5 linked regions of the Xenopus tropicalis genome follow. The protein of the gene in region 2 purifies or fractionates together with the protein of the main gene of each other region. This does not show direct contact. Links are inferred from orthologs where the notes say so. Each region holds a gene or a part of one and is shown on either strand. Other genes may lie near its edges. The genes, in order: ciao2b, fbxl5, cul1, mms19 and aco1.

Evidence for each region.
Region 1: the proteins of fbxl5 (region 2) and ciao2b purify together in Homo sapiens (affinity purification with mass spectrometry; 3 studies listed by BioGRID and IntAct, counting the BioPlex papers as one, with this or other methods). This does not show direct contact. The link is inferred for Xenopus tropicalis from reciprocal best matches to the Homo sapiens genes FBXL5 and CIAO2B.
Region 3: the proteins of fbxl5 (region 2) and cul1 purify together in Homo sapiens (affinity purification with western blotting; 11 studies listed by BioGRID and IntAct, counting the BioPlex papers as one, with this or other methods). This does not show direct contact. The link is inferred for Xenopus tropicalis from reciprocal best matches to the Homo sapiens genes FBXL5 and CUL1.
Region 4: the proteins of fbxl5 (region 2) and mms19 purify together in Homo sapiens (affinity purification with mass spectrometry; 4 studies listed by BioGRID and IntAct, counting the BioPlex papers as one, with this or other methods). This does not show direct contact. The link is inferred for Xenopus tropicalis from reciprocal best matches to the Homo sapiens genes FBXL5 and MMS19.
Region 5: the proteins of fbxl5 (region 2) and aco1 purify together in Homo sapiens (affinity purification with western blotting; 3 studies listed by BioGRID, with this or other methods). This does not show direct contact. The link is inferred for Xenopus tropicalis from reciprocal best matches to the Homo sapiens genes FBXL5 and ACO1.

The regions. Positions count from the first base shown.
Region 1 is NC_030681.2:7,564,475-7,568,630, reverse strand, and holds the start of ciao2b (mitotic spindle-associated MMXD complex subunit MIP18), read right to left. Parts: upstream 2,813-4,156; 5' UTR 2,785-2,812; coding exon 2,658-2,784; intron 289-2,657; coding exon 209-288; intron 81-208; coding exon 1-80.
Region 2 is NC_030677.2:27,926,162-27,930,395, forward strand, and holds the start of fbxl5 (F-box/LRR-repeat protein 5), read right to left. Parts: upstream 2,816-4,234; 5' UTR 2,719-2,815; coding exon 2,635-2,718; intron 1-2,634.
Region 3 is NC_030682.2:55,195,850-55,199,370, forward strand, and holds part of cul1 (cullin-1), read right to left. Parts: coding exon 3,508-3,521; intron 2,933-3,507; coding exon 2,765-2,932; intron 2,626-2,764; coding exon 2,575-2,625; intron 2,019-2,574; coding exon 1,928-2,018; intron 1,183-1,927; coding exon 1,019-1,182; intron 432-1,018; coding exon 269-431; intron 1-268. UniProt on the Homo sapiens protein: Core component of multiple cullin-RING-based SCF (SKP1-CUL1-F-box protein) E3 ubiquitin-protein ligase complexes, which mediate the ubiquitination of proteins involved in cell cycle progression, signal transduction and transcription.
Region 4 is NC_030683.2:33,008,328-33,010,959, forward strand, and holds the end of mms19 (MMS19 nucleotide excision repair protein homolog), read right to left. Parts: intron 2,016-2,632; coding exon 1,956-2,015; intron 1,823-1,955; coding exon 1,722-1,822; intron 933-1,721; coding exon 905-932; 3' UTR 516-904; downstream 1-515. UniProt on the Homo sapiens protein: Key component of the cytosolic iron-sulfur protein assembly (CIA) complex, a multiprotein complex that mediates the incorporation of iron-sulfur cluster into apoproteins specifically involved in DNA metabolism and genomic integrity.
Region 5 is NC_030677.2:117,239,736-117,242,136, reverse strand, and holds part of aco1 (cytoplasmic aconitate hydratase), read left to right. Parts: intron 1-2,115; coding exon 2,116-2,238; intron 2,239-2,401. UniProt on the Homo sapiens protein: Bifunctional iron sensor that switches between 2 activities depending on iron availability. Iron deprivation, promotes its mRNA binding activity through which it regulates the expression of genes involved in iron uptake, sequestration and utilization.

The sequences.
Region 1 (4,156 bases), on a different chromosome or scaffold from region 2:
AGGCCGATGAGCGTTGCCATACTGCAGTGCGGGATGGTCGGGGTAAACTCGACGGACACTGTGCTCTCCTCATCACTTACCTGAGGAACAAACACGCACAGTAATAGGGATATTCACTAAGAGAATTTAGCTCTTCTGTTAGTACATAACATTTACTTATACTGGGGGGGGGGGGGGGGGGGGCCATAGGGTAACAAGCAATTTGCACCTTCACTCGAATTTCTTCAACCACGTTTAGTTCCTCCAGCGTAAGTGGGTGTTCCGGGTCATTTATACAGCGAATCAGATGTACCGGAATTAAGGGCAATGGAAGGGAAAGCAAGGAGTAAACTCAATAAGTAGAACATGCAAGCTACCAAAGGGTTAATGGGCCAGTGACATTATAACTGGGAGTATGTGTATCAGTTTTATTTGATAGGAGCAAGTTTCATCCTGAGTTGGTGCCTATATGAGCCCAGCTCAAGTTCTGAAATATTTGTATTGCAAACAGCGTCTCCTGTACCTCCAATATACAGGGGGGCCCCGCTGGAACATGAATGGCAGCCCCCCGGCTACACAGCGAATTCCTTATACACAATGACTAGCAATGCTGGGTAACCGCATATTAAATTCATTAACAAAAAACTTGCTTTGGTGCTACTTGCCCTTTACAATAAATGTGGAAGGTTGTTGAGAGGCAGTTAGAGGCTGGAGCTTGGGGCTGATATCGGAGAATGAGTGAAGGGATTGGGCAATTGTTGGGGCAAATGGATAGGGAAGGGGCAGTTGCAAGGGCAGATATACTGTATATGAAAAGGTCAGTATAAGTATGGGGCAGTTACAGGGGCAGATAGATAGGGAAGGGTCAGTATAGGTATGGGGCAGATAGATAGGGAAGGGTCAGTATAGGTATGGGGCAGATAGATAGGGAAGGGTCAGTATAGGTATGGGGCAGATAGATAGGGAAGGGGCAGATAGATAGGGAAGGGTCAGTATAGGTATGGGGCAGATAGATAGGGAAGGGTCAGTGTAGGTATGGGGCAGATAGATAGGGAAGGGGCAGTATAGGTATGGGGCAGATAGATAGGGAAGGGGCAGTATAGGTATGGGGCAGATAGATAGGGAAGGGTCAGTATAGGTATGGGGCAGATAGATAGGGAAGGGGCAGATAGATAGGGAAGGGTCAGTATAGGTATGGGGCAGATAGATAGGGAAGGGTCAGTGTAGGTATGGGGCAGATAGATAGGGAAGGGTCAGTATAGGTATGGGGGCAGATAGATAGGGAAGGGTCAGTGTAGGTATGGGCAGATAGATAGGGAAGGGGCAGTATAGGTATGGGGCAGATAGATAGGGAAGGGTCAGTGTAGGTATGGGGCAGATAGATAGGGAAGGGTCAGTGTAGGTATGGGGCAGATAGATAGGGAAGGGGCAGATAGATAGGGAAGGGTCAGTATAGGTATGGGGCAGATAGATAGGGAAGGGTCAGTATAGGTATGGGGCAGATAGATAGGGAAGGGGCAGTATAGGTATGGGGCAGATAGATAGGGAAGGGGCAGTATAGGTATGGGGCAGATAGATAGGGAAGGGGGCAGTATAGGTATGGGGCAGATAGATAGGGAAGGGTCAGTATAGGTATGGGGCAGATAGATAGGGAAGGGGCAGATAGATAGGGAAGGGTCAGTATAGGTATGGGGCAGATAGATAGGGAAGGGTCAGTATAGGTATGGGGCAGATAGATAGGGAAGGGTCAGTATAGGTATGGGGCAGATAGATAGGGAAGGGTCAGTATAGGTATGGGGCAGTTGCAGGGGCAGTTGCAGGGGCAGATAGATAGGGAAGGGTCAGTATAGGTATGGGGCAGATAGATAGGGAAGGGTCAGTATAGGTATGGGGCAGATAGATAGGGAAGGGTCAGTTTAGGTATGGGGCAGTTGCAGGGGTAGATAGATAGGGAAGTGCAAGTATTAGGATGGGGCAAATAAATAGATAAGGGTCAGTATAGGGATGGGACAGGTAAATAGGGAAGGGTCAGTAAAGGAATAGGGCAAATATATATAAAAGGGTTAGTTTCTGGGGCAGATATATAGGGCTGGGGCAAATAGATACGGAAGGGTCAGTTGCTGGGGCAGATAGATACGGAAGGGTCAGTATAGGAAGGGGGCAGTTGCTGGGGCAGATAGATAGGGAAGGGGCAGTATAGGAAGGGGGCAGTTGCTGGGGCAGATAGATAGGGAAGGGGCAGTATAGGAAGGGGGCAGTTGCTGGGGCAGATAGATAGGGAAGGGGCAGTATAGGAAGGGGGCAGTTGCTGGGGCAGATAGATAGGAAAGGGGCAGTATAGGAAGGGGGCAGTTGCTGGGGCAGATAGATAGGGAAGGGTCAGTATAGGAAGGGGCAGATAGATAGGGAAGGGTCAGTATAGGAAGGGGGCAGTTGCTGGGGCAGATAGGGATAAGACTGCGCTGAGTGGATGACAGCCCAGGGCAGTAGATTTGGGGGGGGGGGGGTATTAGGCAACAGTACGAGGCAGTTACCCCCATGGGCACAGGCGGATACAAGGGGCAGGAAGGACACGGATATTATCGGGAGAGGGCTCTATCCCCCGGTTGCTAGGGAACAGGCAGGGGGTGAGCCCGGCACTACGCCCATGGGTACGGCTCATATACGCGGAAGGATATCAAAGATCTCCCGGTCATCGATCCGGTCCGGCGCGTCCTCATCCTCCTCCTGCGCTGTGACCTGCCGCTCCCCCGCCCGCCGGTAAATGAGCGGATTCGCGTTCTCCAGCTGGCTCCCTCCCACCATCCCCGGACCCTTATTCCTACCGTACCACTTCCGCCCTCACCACGCCGTGCGGGAAATGTTTCCGTCTGGCAATAGGCACCTCCGCCTGCCATTGGCTGATTCACCCGCAGCGGGCCAATCACTGGCCGAGCCTCTTGGATTGGTTTGCAATGCCTACCAATCACCGGCTGTGTGGAAAAGGGCGGAAAAGGAAAACGCCATGTTTTATCCTGGCAAATTAGAATCAGAATGTATAGGTTGGTATGGTTCAGCCCGGAAACCGGAAGCCTTAGCTATTGGCTTGGTTACACTAAGTGCTACCGTCAGGGTTACCGGGTTGGCGGCTTTTCCACCCAATTGAGCTACTAACTAAAGCCCAGGTGGGTTTCCAAAGTACAAACCCGCTAAGGTACAGATTTGGGCTGTTTCTATGGAGCCTTGGCGGGTTTGTAGTGTGGAAACCTGGTAAACCTGACGCACCTGTCCCACTGCATGCTGGGTAATGTAGTTTGTATCTAACAATTAGCCTACAGCTAGGATTAATATAAGTGAATGAATGAATCACTAGGGGATCAGCCCCTGCCCGGCCAACTCAGCCACCTTAAACATACAGTATCATAGCAACAAGCAAAGGTATAGCCACTTCTCTACTGGATATTTCCTACTGCCCACGGGCCCATCTACGTTCTACCAGTCATTGCCCACAGGCCCATCTATGTTCTACCAGTCATTGCCCACGGGCCCATCTATGTTCTACCAGTCATTGCCCACGGGCCCATCTACGTTCTACCAGTCACTGCCCACGGGCCCATCTATGTTCTACCAGTCATTGCCCACGGCCCATCTATGTTCTACCAGTCATTGCCCACGGGCCCATCTATGTTCTACCAGTCATTGCCCACGGGCCCATCTATGTTCTACCAGTCATTGCCCACGGGCCCATCTACGTTCTACCAGTCACTGCCCACGGGCCCATCTATGTTCTACCAGTCATTGCCCACGGGCCCATCTATGTTCTACCAGTCATTGCCCACGGGCCCATCTATGTTCTACCAGTCATTGCCCACGGGCCCATCTATGTTCTACCAGTCATTGCCCACGGGCCCATCTATGTTCTACCAGTCATTGCCCACGGGCCCATCTATGTTCTACCAGTCATTGCCCACGGGCCCCATCTATGTTCTACCAGTCATTGCCCACGGGCCCATCTATGTTCTACCAGTCATTGCCCCACGGGCCCATCTATGTTCTACCAGTCATTGCCCACGGGCCCATCTACGTTCTACCAGTCATTGCCCACGGGCCCATCTATGTTCTACCAGTCATTGCCCACGGGCCCATCTATGTTCTACCAGTCATTGCCCACGGGCCCATCTATGTTCTACCAGTCATT
Region 2 (4,234 bases):
AAAGTTAACTCTACACACACCACACTCCTGCCTATCTTTCCCCTGAGCCCAACATGTTACCCAAGGAACACCTACTTGCCAACCTGATGACTGTAGGCAATCCAGCCCCACTTGTCCTGCCAACCCTAGGAGCCAACAGGCAGAACGACAGGAGCAGCAGGAAACGCACCAAGCTCCAACCAACCAGCTGCGTCAGCACATCACATTGCCCCGCTGGACTCACAACCCACATCCAACTTGGTCACAGAATGGTCTGTTGAAACCAAACCCCAACACATACCCAAAAGGTCAGGGAGGGTGGTCAAAAATGGGCAAACTGCCTGACCAAATCAGGGTATATATGTGCAATTTCACTCTTACACAAACCAATGGAAATGTGTGTGACTCCAAGGCTAAGTGTGCATTACTTACGTGTTACACAGTCTTGCCTCACACACACAGCGCTCTATAATCTCAATCTCACCAATATAAAAATATTTTAAGCCTAACACCAGCAATGGGTTTTAAAACCCATGTCGTTACTGTAAAGATTAGTGCAATTAAAAAAAGAATAGCAAGCTGCTTGGCAGGATAATAAATGCTTCATGCAAACTAACAAAAGAAAATCCAGATTCAGCCCCCCTCTGCACACGGTCAGGATTGGAACCTGCCTGTCAGTGCACACAGAGCAGCTCGGCCAGAAGCACTCAGCCTAAATGTTGTCTAAATGCCGGCATAGGAACAAAATGCTCCTGTAACTCACACGCTGCCTCCGGCTACTGCCAAGAGACCTCACAAGCTCTGACATCCGTCCGCCACTAATCACCTCACCTATGAATCAGCAAATTTCATGTTGAAATGGGAAAGTGACCCATAAGCATGACAGGACAGAAAATATGGGGATTGGCTTACATTTCTACCTTACACAGCCCAAGCCTATCCTGAAGCAGCTCAGGGAATGGAAGGTAAGCCGCTTCCTCATCATCCCGGGCATCCATCTCACTTAAAGGGATGGTTCACAGGGCAATTTGGGGCATGGCCAGTGTATGGCTCCAGAGGTAGAACTAATTCACCCTGTGTGCATTGCTGTAATTCAGTACTAGCTCTTCTAGTAGGGGGTGGGAGGGAGAGAACGGTCAATGTATAACCCTTCCCAAGGCCATCTTGAACAATAAAACCACCCCCACCCAACTGCAGACAGTATGCCTTTTTGGGTGACACTGCCCGTAAGGGACAACACTGATAGCAGCACCCCTGAGATTTGGCCTCCTGATGTTTGTGTCCAGCTGCCAAACTCTTGCAACAGGAATGCCAATCATACCACACTCTCATAGGCTCTTCATACAACTATTATTATTATTATTAACATTTATTTATAAAGTGCCAACATATTCCGCAGCGCTGTTCAATAAGTGGGTTTCATACATTGGACATACAGAGTAACATATAAAGCAATCAATAACCGATACAAGAGGTGAAGAGAGCCCTGCCCAAAAGAGCTTACACTCTACAAGGAGAAAGGGTTGAGACACAAGGTGATACAATGTTACAATGGATTCCCTTTCAAATGAAAATGATGGAATATGCACCTCCATATAGTCTATAATAAAGGGATTAAGGGGACCCACATTCAGGTCCCGACCCTCAGGTTGAGAATCCCTGCCCTAATGGGTATAGGGCTCTTTATACATCTGTACAAACTCTGCCAATGCAGACATTCTGTAGGGTTAGAGTGATGGCACAAAGCTCAGGCATCTACAGAATGGGAGAGAAGCCAGAAAACACTTGTGTAAGTGATGTTATTAGAGCATTGGGCATTTATTTCATGAAGAACTGGCCCAGTTTAAAAATGTTCAAGACTCCAAGGCATAATGGCAGCTGCAGTCCAACCACTATGAAGACAAATATTCATAACCAGGGTCAGTAATAACAGAGAGGGGGTGCCAGGATACGCGCAAGGGCTGGGCCCCCACAGAACCTGCAGAACTTCCAGCTGGAGCGATCAGCTGACTCGGGATGGGGAGAGTTGCAATTCAACAAGAAGCTGGAAGGCTACAGCACTGACAATCCTTTTGCATACACTCAAAATATCAACATTATAAAGGTTAAGCAAAGCTGGCTTTCAGTCTAGTATCCCATAGCAACTAATTGATGGGCTGGCTGACATCTGATTGGTCTACTTGACCAGGTCAGACTTTATATAACAGTACCCTGATGTACCCTGGGGGCTTTTATCTGCCTTTCCCTTCCCCATGTGATGCTGGGAATCCCAGAGAAGAACCCCTGTCCCTACCCGTGTATAATGTATAACAAATCTGCCCTCAGCCCACTGCCTGCACTAAAGTTCCCTGCTGTTGCTGAACTACAAATGGCAGCGCTGCTCTGTATCAGTAGGGCGATAGTACCAGCGTATGAAGTATAACCCGGGGGGTGCTGTACAATACCTATGCTATACATACAGTGCAGGTATGTGTCTATATTCCCATCTAAAGGAATGAAGAATTGGGCTTTTAACAAAGCCAGGACTGGATCAATATCCCTAATAGCATGGGGTTCTCAGACTGGCTCAGAGGGTTGCCATGGGATGCTGGGGGATGTAGTGAGAATCTTTCAGTTTCCCATAATCCCAAGCCGCCATCATCCTACAGAATTTACCTTCTCGCAATACCTCCCCACCAGCTGCTTCATCCGCCAGTGTGGTCCAGTGAACAAGTCCACCTCGTCCGGAAATGGAGCCATGTCCGCCTCTCCATACAAGAGCTCCCAAGCGCTCAAAAACCCAGAGTGACCGACAAGCTCACACAGCCCTGCCAAAATAACCCGACGGCAGACCTCCTCCTCACAACTGCGCAACTACGGCCTACACTTCCCTACTGCGCCTGCGCAATCCAACCTGTCACGTAATGCACAGAGAAGCTAGCAGCTGCGCAGCCGCAAACTTGGCATGGCCGGTTGCCTAGTATCCTGATAGCCGTCCTATGAGCATGCGTTCTATAACGGCCACCGTAGCTTCAATGCGCATGCGCAATGCTACTTTCTCGGTCACTATATAAGTAACGCTCGTAAAAGTGACAAGCCTCACGGTCCTGCGCATGCGCTGAGCGATCTCCGCCTGTTGGGACAAAACCATTTTTCAAACCCAAAGGCACACGTAGCAGCTCTAAACATTTTAGTTGAAAATGTATCACATTTATTTTTACAATGAGGATTTATGTTTTATTTTGCAAAGAGTGGGTCGTTTTCAGTGTTTCTAAATGCTCAATTAACAGTATTAACATGAGGCGGATACTAATGCAAGTGTTATTTATAAGCAGGAAAGATTGTATATTTTTTACAGAAAAAGTGAAAACACTAATTGATGCCAGTGTTACTAAAGAAGGAGAAGTAAAGCTTAAATAAACAATACAGGCAAACCTTAACTTTACAACTTACAACTTTACGTTCCCTTCTTAACCACAATTTAAAATTTTCTTATTTTTTTTTCCAGTCCTACCAGTTCCAATTCACCTAAATTTTACATCACATTTTCCTGCATTTTAATTATTTTTTTCTCGTTTTCCTAAAAATGTATTTTTGTTCTCTGTAAACACTTGGGTAATTACCAGAAAGAGGAGGGGGGGGGGGGGGTGCCAGCCCGACCCATGGTGCCAGCCCAACCCATGGTGCCTGCAGGAGATACCAGAACCCTAAACTGACATTTTGGTTAGGTGGATGAATGGGCCAGGTGTCATTTTTGCACCCAGTCCTGTAGTGTTAGGTTGTGCATGAAACTTTCAAAGGGATCCTGCAAATGCCGTCCACATATCCTATAGATTAATGCTAAACTGCTTGAAGTTGAGCCAGTAGCAGGGTGAAGAACTCTATTGCAAAGCAAATTTGGCTCCTGTACTTATATCCTCTACTTTAAACCATTTCCCTGATTTTACATTTGACAGAATTAAAATAGGGCTTTTACTGTATTGCTAGAAATTCTTTTATATACTGAACTTACTGTTCCAGGCCTGAGGCCCAACAGCCTTATAACTGTAATGATCCATGCTGTCCTAGCTTGGGTTGCCACCTTTTTTTTACAGTGAATACTGGCAAGCAGTGATATCACAGGGTGGGAAAATGGGTGGGCTACATAGGGAAAGAGTCAGGGAAGGACAGGATTTATAGGTAGGGCTGCCATCCTTATATATTGCTGGTAAATTTGTAATACTGGCACTAGAATCGCCAGCTAGGCTGGTCAAATAGCGGCTTGATCTCAACCCTA
Region 3 (3,521 bases), on a different chromosome or scaffold from region 2:
CATAGGATCGCAATTGTATCGTGTATGGCCACCTTAATTTTGCTCTAACAGTGTAAGAAGGTTAACATTGGTATACAGGCTGGCAATCTATTTTGATAAACCAATAGGAATTCAAGAAATTCATAGAAGCTACTGGCCCAATAGCCAACAACTGTGCATGTACACAACTCCCAGCATTACACAGAAATTAGCTATTGTTTGTAATAGCTCGCGGCCCATGTAGAAATGTATTCATTTTGGAGCATAGTGGCCCGTGTTAGATAATTACCTTCATTTTTATCAGCATCTAGTAAATTCTGAAATTCAGTGTGGAAAATCTCTAGATGTTTTTCAATTAGGACTTGTTCACATTTCCGTGCTAGTTCATCCTGTGTGCTCTCATGTAAGTATACTTGTACTCTGCGCTGCTCCTCCAAAAGCCGAGCTTCTGCCTAAAAAAGACAAAAGCAATAATAAGCCTTAGGCACACACAGAACAATGTTATTACACAGCAGGGTGCATAAACTCTTCTAATATGCAGACTTTTCTTTTCTTAGACAGAATAGGTATTCTATTCACTAAGCATTACTTCTGTGAATATGTATCACTTTGCACAATTAGAAGGTGCCACTAACTGTCACTTCAGTTTGTATTTCATACAAACTGATGTGGTGTGTTGCGGTGTGTGGAGCATTATCAGTTTTACCTCCCCCCCCCCTAAAAATTAACATTATTACACCAACTATTATATAAAGGGAAATGCAGAGAGAAAGAATAATCTTGAAAATGCGAATGAAGCAATCATTGCTCACCATATATGAAAGAATTACAATTCTAAAAATGTTTGCACCATTCGCTGTGCTTCTCCTATACAGTCACTGAAGAGACAGAGCTATCAAGCCCTATAATGTGTGTGTAACAGAAGCATTGGCAAATGGCTGCCTAACATCTAGCATTAGTAACAATACTTGCTTCTTTGGAACCAGGTTACCTCACCCTGGTAACAGTATAGCAGATTTTCAAAAGAAAGCAGACCTACCTTTTTCATATATTCTGTGACAGGGTTCTGCTGTAAAAACTCTGTGCTCTCTCTTGTATAAAACCGTTCTGTGTCTGCCAAAAACTGAGACTCAAAGGACTCTTTATAAACAGTCAGTGTTGGGCCTTTGGCAAATGCATCATCTTCATTCAAGCCAAGCTCAACTTGAAAGAAAAACATATTTTTACTGCTTTGTGATTTTTTTTCAATTTATTTTTTTACATTGGCTGGCATGGTGCCTTTTATTACGAGAACCCATCTATTTTACGTGAACCAAAGTGGACTAAGCATTAACCTTTTCTAGCACAGACACATTAACAGTTGTATTTACATAACCAGCTATATTTAGGTCTAGTGCCACCCTAGGCATTGGACCTAATTCACACACCCCCAAACCTTGGGGCATCCGTAGGCCATCCCCTGCTGCGAATGGGGCTCTCGGGCGCCTATAAATATGGCTCTGCACACAACATTAAACAGATTTAACGAAGAAATTTCCTCCCAAAAAAATCACTAATCAAGTGTTATTAATTTAGGCTCATTTAACTGAAAATCAAATAGTGATTTAATTGTTGTTTTGATTTTTTGCACAAGTCCTGTTATGTATAAAGCTTTCTATTTTTATTATTAATTTTATTTGCACCCAGGCAGACACTTTATTATATTTGAGTGCTCCTCTCAGTGTTATTTATATATATATATATATATATATATATATATATAATATATAATGCAAGGATGATGGCAATCAAATCAAACAGTCAGAACACAGATCATCAGAAGAAAAACCTCACAGCACTTGCCTAACATCTAATACTGTATCCATATCTCTGTGTAATTCTGAGTGTGATGTTGTAAAGATTAGTTATGCATTAGCAGATGCAGGGATACATATTAAAATTAACTTACCATAAGATTGCACCACTCCACTTATAAGCCTGGTGTTTATTGTTTCACCATTTCGTTCCTTTTCAATCAGTTTCAGCACAGCATTTGTTACCTTTTGAAACAGACCAAATAGTGTCACAAATTTACTTCACAATTACCAACTTTTTGTTATATGTATGTATGTGGAGGTGTGATTTAAAAAAATATGAGCGGAATGGAAGAAAACAAAAAAAACATCCCGTCTACCAACTTGGAAATGCAGCATCAACAATTACAGATCACTACTGAAGATGAGAATGGGCACCTCAGGTATGCTGTGAGCATGAAGCACTGTCAATGCTCAACACTAGGGCTAGCACAGTGAGGGCCAACAGGAGGGACATCTGCAGTATACATTGTCAGATGATTACTGAACACAGCATAACTTACAACTTGCTGTGGTAAATGGTAAGAGAAACAGTAAAAAATTTATATTAAAGCCAGTTGTATTTGGAGAGGGGAAGCACAGGGAAAAATTGTTTTGATTTTCAACCATGCCATAATTTAAGGTTCAGTTTACACAGTGCCTCTTTGATGAACTGCATAATAGCACAGCTACAAGAATAACGATCATGTAAATGTCACAAATAACAATAAGTTTGACTGTATAACAAGGTATTGATATTTACCTGCTTATTCAAAGGCTTAAACAGACAATCCCTCCATGTCACTAAGGCCAGCTAGGAGAAAGGAACACAAACAAAGACCTATTAACGATGTAATCACCCACTGTTAAGAAAAATAGTCAGTTATAGGTTCTCTTATCAAGCAATCTGTTGAAATGGGTTTACTAATGTAAGCAAATGTTATCCAACTTACAGAATATATTTCATATATTCCTTTGCGGCCTTCATCACACTCACGGCGAACCCAGTGCCGGTTGAGGTATGCGCAGATTCCATTCAGCACTTTACTTGAAAACCTGTAATCTTCCCATTGCTGTGTGTAAAACTTCAGTACGCTCTCATCCATCAAATCTTCTCCATCCTGGGGAGTACATATTAATATACCATATTCCCAAACAATTTTAGTTGCCTTCTATGCAGTAATAATTACAAATAAAAATATAAAAGTCATCTTGCAAGCAGCTTTAGCAACAAGTTTGGATGCATTAAACCTGTCTAGTATGGAAGATATTAAAGACCTGTGAACCAAAACAATGTATTTTGATAGCATTCTGTACTCCTAATATCACAAAATATGCTTGGAATACAAATGGCAGCAGATATCCTGCTGCAGGAAAATTAAGCTCATGACAACTGGTAGGCTGCAGCTGGTAGTAGGTTACCTACACTGCTCTGCAGCATGATTTAAACCTGTGCTCCCCTATAGTAGTAGTGCCAATGAGTTATGCAGGTAGTTTTTTTGGTTTGTTTTTTTTACACAGTATTAATGATATACTGTGGCCCTACAATAAAAATAAATCAGATACGATAAAATGAAGAATGCACAATTATGTCTGTATACAGCATATGAAACATAAATCCATTTATTTTATGAAGTATTAGAAACATGTTGTTCATATTGCATTCCCTCAGAGATTCAATTTAACAAAAACTTACCTTTAGGAGATTTG
Region 4 (2,632 bases), on a different chromosome or scaffold from region 2:
ATCTGAGGCTTATAAGATCTTTCTTGCACATAGCAACGTCAGAACACCTATTTTCCTTCTGAAGGTATAGCTCTTCGACTGTACAGTAACAGAAACTACAAAATGTATTATTTTGGCAGGTTTACGTATCCTTAAACCATTCAGTAGGTTAACATGGACCAATATTGTATCGGCCTTTTAAGGAAAACCTCAAACACAAAATACACATTAGACGAATTTGCTAGTTTTAATGTAAACATTTGCAGTATTGATGGTGCAGAGAATGGGAAATACCTTTGTTAGCTAGCTCAGCACTTAGAATAATTGCTTTCCTATGTTAATCCTCAGGCATGGAACACACCTGCTCCGGATAGCAGCATCAAGTTAAAATGGGCATGAGAATCCACATTTACCTTGGCTTTAGGGAAAATTCCCCGTGTACCTCACCTTTCTAGAAAATTCTTCTCATACAGCAGCAGGAGAGAATCTCCCCCAGACTGGAGCCCCAAGGGGAAGCTTTACAACACACACACAGTAAAAAAAAAAAAACAACTTTTATGTCCAACTTAAAACCAGGCCAAGAGACTGGCGTTGCTATTCATTCACAGAACTATACGTTATAATATACACCTTATATATATTTCATGGACTAGTTCTCTTCATCCACATGCCAAGTCATTGATCTAATGTACATCTGTGCTACCATCGTTCATGTGCAATATAAAGCTGCAGGACGTCTGTGATCCACTTAGCAGTGAGTTAATGACGTGAGCAGGTCCCGCTTCTATGTTAGGGCCTGGGGTTGTCAGTATTTGAGGGGCGACTAAACAAGATGGCACATGGAGTCATGGTGTTGATCATGTCGTAAGAATAAGTGGCATCCTGGCTAGATTGTCTCCGTGCAAAGTTAGAATCCAGTCTGTTCTCAGCTCCCTGGACTTCCAAGCAAGAACCTAAAGGGGGAAGAACAAAGAATGAGCACACCATCAATTAGGGGAGCAAAAAACTCAATATTGTGCCCTACAACAGTTGCAGATCACTATTGCTCTTTAGGCTTATGGCAGACAATGGCTATTCCTAGCAACTTTGCAGTTTGTCTTCTTTATTTTTTTTTTTAGAGTTTTTAAATTATTTGCCTTCCTAATGTGCACGTATCCAGCTTTCAAATGGGGGTCACTGACCCCGGCAGTCAAAAAAATCTTTTGCTTTGTGAGGCTAAAATTTTGATGTTATTGTTACTTTATATTCCATATATTTCTATTGAGACCCTCCCCTCTTCATATTCCAGTCTCTCATTCAAACCACTGACTGGCTGCTAAGGTAAATAAGTAACTAGTAACCAGATAGCTGCTGAAATTCAAAAATGAACCAGCTGAACCAAAAGTTAACTGAAAAACCACAAAATTTAAAAAAAGCAATAGGTGAGGTAAGGAGAAAACATGGAGCAGGCAGATAGTTTCTATGAGAACAAGCAATGCCATCTCTTCATTGGCTGCTAGACTGGGGGGCGTGAGCCAAGAACAACTGAGCATGCCCACTAGCCAACAGCCAAAGTAAATTCCTGAGGGAGAGGGCCGAGTGGGTTAGAGAAGAAGAAATCCTAAGTGATTAAGGGGATGCTGCAGCAGGTATTGAAAGATTTCAAAGAGGCTGTTTGTGTGGGGGGAGTTTATATATCCTGTAACGTTCCCTGTAAAGAGGCCATATGCACTCAGTAAAATAAAGATACACTGTGAACCTACCACTGGCAGCGAGTCTCGACTGCCTCCTTCCTCACTAGTCTTTTCTTGTCATCCAGAGGTTTGGCTAAGGCACGGATCACCTGTTGCTTATAAGGCAGGAGCTGGCAAGAGAAATCCATATATAACAGTATGATCCATATAAATCCGGTTATGCACAGAAGCCATACTGACTGGCACAGATATACACTGAGCAGTGAGCGTAGAAGTGCAATGGCACCAAAGGTGCATTCTTACCATGTGCAAGGGGAGCTTGGTGAGAGCAAGGATACACTTCAAAGCTGTAATCCGAACAGCCTAGAAAGGGCGAAAGGAAGAAAGAATTAGCCTTTTATCTTTTAAGTAGAATCAAGATCACAACACAAACTGCTCCACACACTCTGCCCAAGGGAAATGTAACCGCTGGAGGTTCACTTTCCAGCTGTGATGGTAAATTTGGCCTTTGTCAGCCAAAGCTAGGTGCCTGAGGAGTGCAGAATATCTCACTCACACTGACCACAGCGAGGAACATACATCTGTTAGGCCTGCGATGCATTCCATCCAATCAATTACAGAATCATTGCAACGAAGAATAACCAATGCTCTTATTAAATACGATAAGCAATTGGACCGATTCGGCAGCTTATCAGCCCGTGTAGGGGCAGAAACGACAGCCATACCCGACCGATATCTGGCCTGAAATTGGGCAGATATCGATCGGGCAGGTTAAAAAATTCAGTTGGGGACCACATCGGCTCGTTGATGTGGTCCCCGAACCGACTGCCCTATTGCCGCCATTATAATTCGATCATTTGGCCCCAGGGCCAAATGATCGAATTAGCCTACATGTTCCCCGACATTGCCAACCCGTAGATGGGGATATCGGGTGAAGATCCGCTCGCTTGGGCTTTACAGAGCCCAATCACGTATTGGTC
Region 5 (2,401 bases), about 89 Mb from region 2:
TTTGCAGGAGCTGAAATGACAGAAATGACAGTTCATATGGGGGTATGTTCACATTGGGGCCCCTACATGCCACATACTTAGGTAAACCTATACATATTGGGCATCAAACTGTTCAGTGGACCCCTGGCGTTCAAATTCAGGGTGTTTTATCTTGGTATCTAATGCTATGTGGGAGATAAGATGCTTCAAAGTGGAAGCTTTGAGGGGATTTTTGGAAATGTCATCAAAATTGCTAACTTTAGAAAAGCTGTGCGGCTTGGTACTTTGGAGTAGAAAGACATGGGTACCCATTTTAGATTCGGGGGAATGTGTACTTTCCAAAAATATATGACTTTCTGGGGTGAGCGTACTTTTTACTAGCTTCATCCCACATATAATGATGTAAATGTGTTGATTTTGCAGAAGCTGAAATGACAGAAATGACAGTTCATATGGGGTATGTTCACATTGGGGCCCCTACATGCCACATACTTAGGTAAACCTATACATATTGGGCATCAAACTGTTCAGTGGACCCCAGGCATTCATATTTAGGGTGTTTTATTTGGTTACTTTATGACCTGTAGGAGATAAGATACTATAGACTAGAAGCTTTGAAGCGATTTTTAAAAAAAATCACAAATTTTGATAAAAACCAATAACTTTAGGAAAGCATTGCGACTTGATAGTTTGGAGTAGACAGACAGTTGTGCCTATTCTGTATTCCCCAGAATCTGTTCTTTCCAAAAATGTACAATTTTCTGGGATAAAACTTCTGTTAGTGGAATTTTGGCCTTGAAATCCAAAGTATGCAGTTTTTTTGGAGCAGTGCTTTGGGAATTTGGTAGTGTACTGCTGGGAGTTTTTGACCTATACAAGTGAGAAATCTCCATAAAACTATATATATTTGGTATTGGCACGTTCAGGAGACATGGGACTTTCCAAATCAGTTGTATATTCGTGCATAAAATAATTTTTGTTTCTAGTATGTGTGATTATATTATGGAAAATTTGATTTTTTTTGCATTTTTAGACATTTAGAAGCCTATATCTTGTTACAGAATTGGAATTACACAAAAATTCTACCATATTTTGAAAGCTTAGGTTGTTCTGAAAAAAATGATATATTGTTTTCCTTGGTAAACTAAAAGTCCCCCCGAGGAAAGGCCCCTAAAGTGAAACAGTGCAAAATGTTCAAAAACTGTCTGGCAATACAAGTTCCGCTTTGACCAAAATGGCTGGCAGTAAAAAGGTTAAAGCACTAAAAATTTTCAATAAATTTACATTGGAACGTTGCTTGGAATTATCAGTCAATTATAATTGGAATTATGTTTTCTTTGATTCTGCAAAAAAATTATTTTTGGGGTTGACATGACCTTTAAGGATGGGGGGGGTTTGTTTATTCAGTGTTTATTATCCTCCTTTAAAAAGAAAACCTTGTTTAGGTTGGCAGAGTAGAGTGAGTTTAGTAAAAAACAAAACTTCCCATGAGTGCCTTAAAAAGTAAGAAAAACTAGAATTTTTAATGAAAAAAGAGGCAGAATAGATACTCACCTAAAGGTTTATTAGGAACACCTGTTCAATTTCTCATTAATGCAATTATCTAATCAACCAATCACATGGCAGTTGCTTCAATGCATATATTTCAAGATCTGCTCAGTTACTGCATGTGTTACTCAGTATGCGGCAGTCCTGTGGGCGAAAATGCCTTGTTGATGCTAGAGGTCAGAGGAAGGGTATTAGTATGGTGTTCCTAATAATCCTTTAGGTGAGTGTATACTGCCCTTTAATTAAAGTGAGGTGAGAGTATAATATAGCTCTACCTTTATTGCTGGTCATCCATTCACCTCTCGATTTTTCGTTATGTGTCAAAAACTATTATTTTTTTTCCTGGTAGCTGTTGCATCCATATATAATGCAGAAGAAAATAACCCATTATGTTGGCTGATTAATAAATATTATGAAACATAACACAAATCTGTGTTCCTTGATTGAAGTATGTCATTTTATTTATGTCATTGAAATCACTACATTCTGCCAATAGCATCATTTTCTAAATGGCTACTGAACCTTCTTCTTATTGCCTTTCTAAATGTGTGTATTGGAAATATATTTGTTTTTTGTTTTGTTTTTTAGCTTGATATATTTGATGCAGCTGAAAGATACCAAAATGATGGGCACAATTTAATCCTTCTGACAGGAAAAGAGTATGGTTCTGGAAGTTCTAGAGATTGGGCTGCAAAAGGTCCTTTCTTACAGGTATGGTGGCATCTGCTTATTCCAAATTTCTTTTGTTTTCATAAAACATTAATATTTATAGACTGTTCGATGCATGCACTATTGCACACAAGCAGAAAGAAAAACACAAAAAATCAAGTAAATAATTCAATTTGAATCAGTCCAATAGAATGTAAGTAACCAA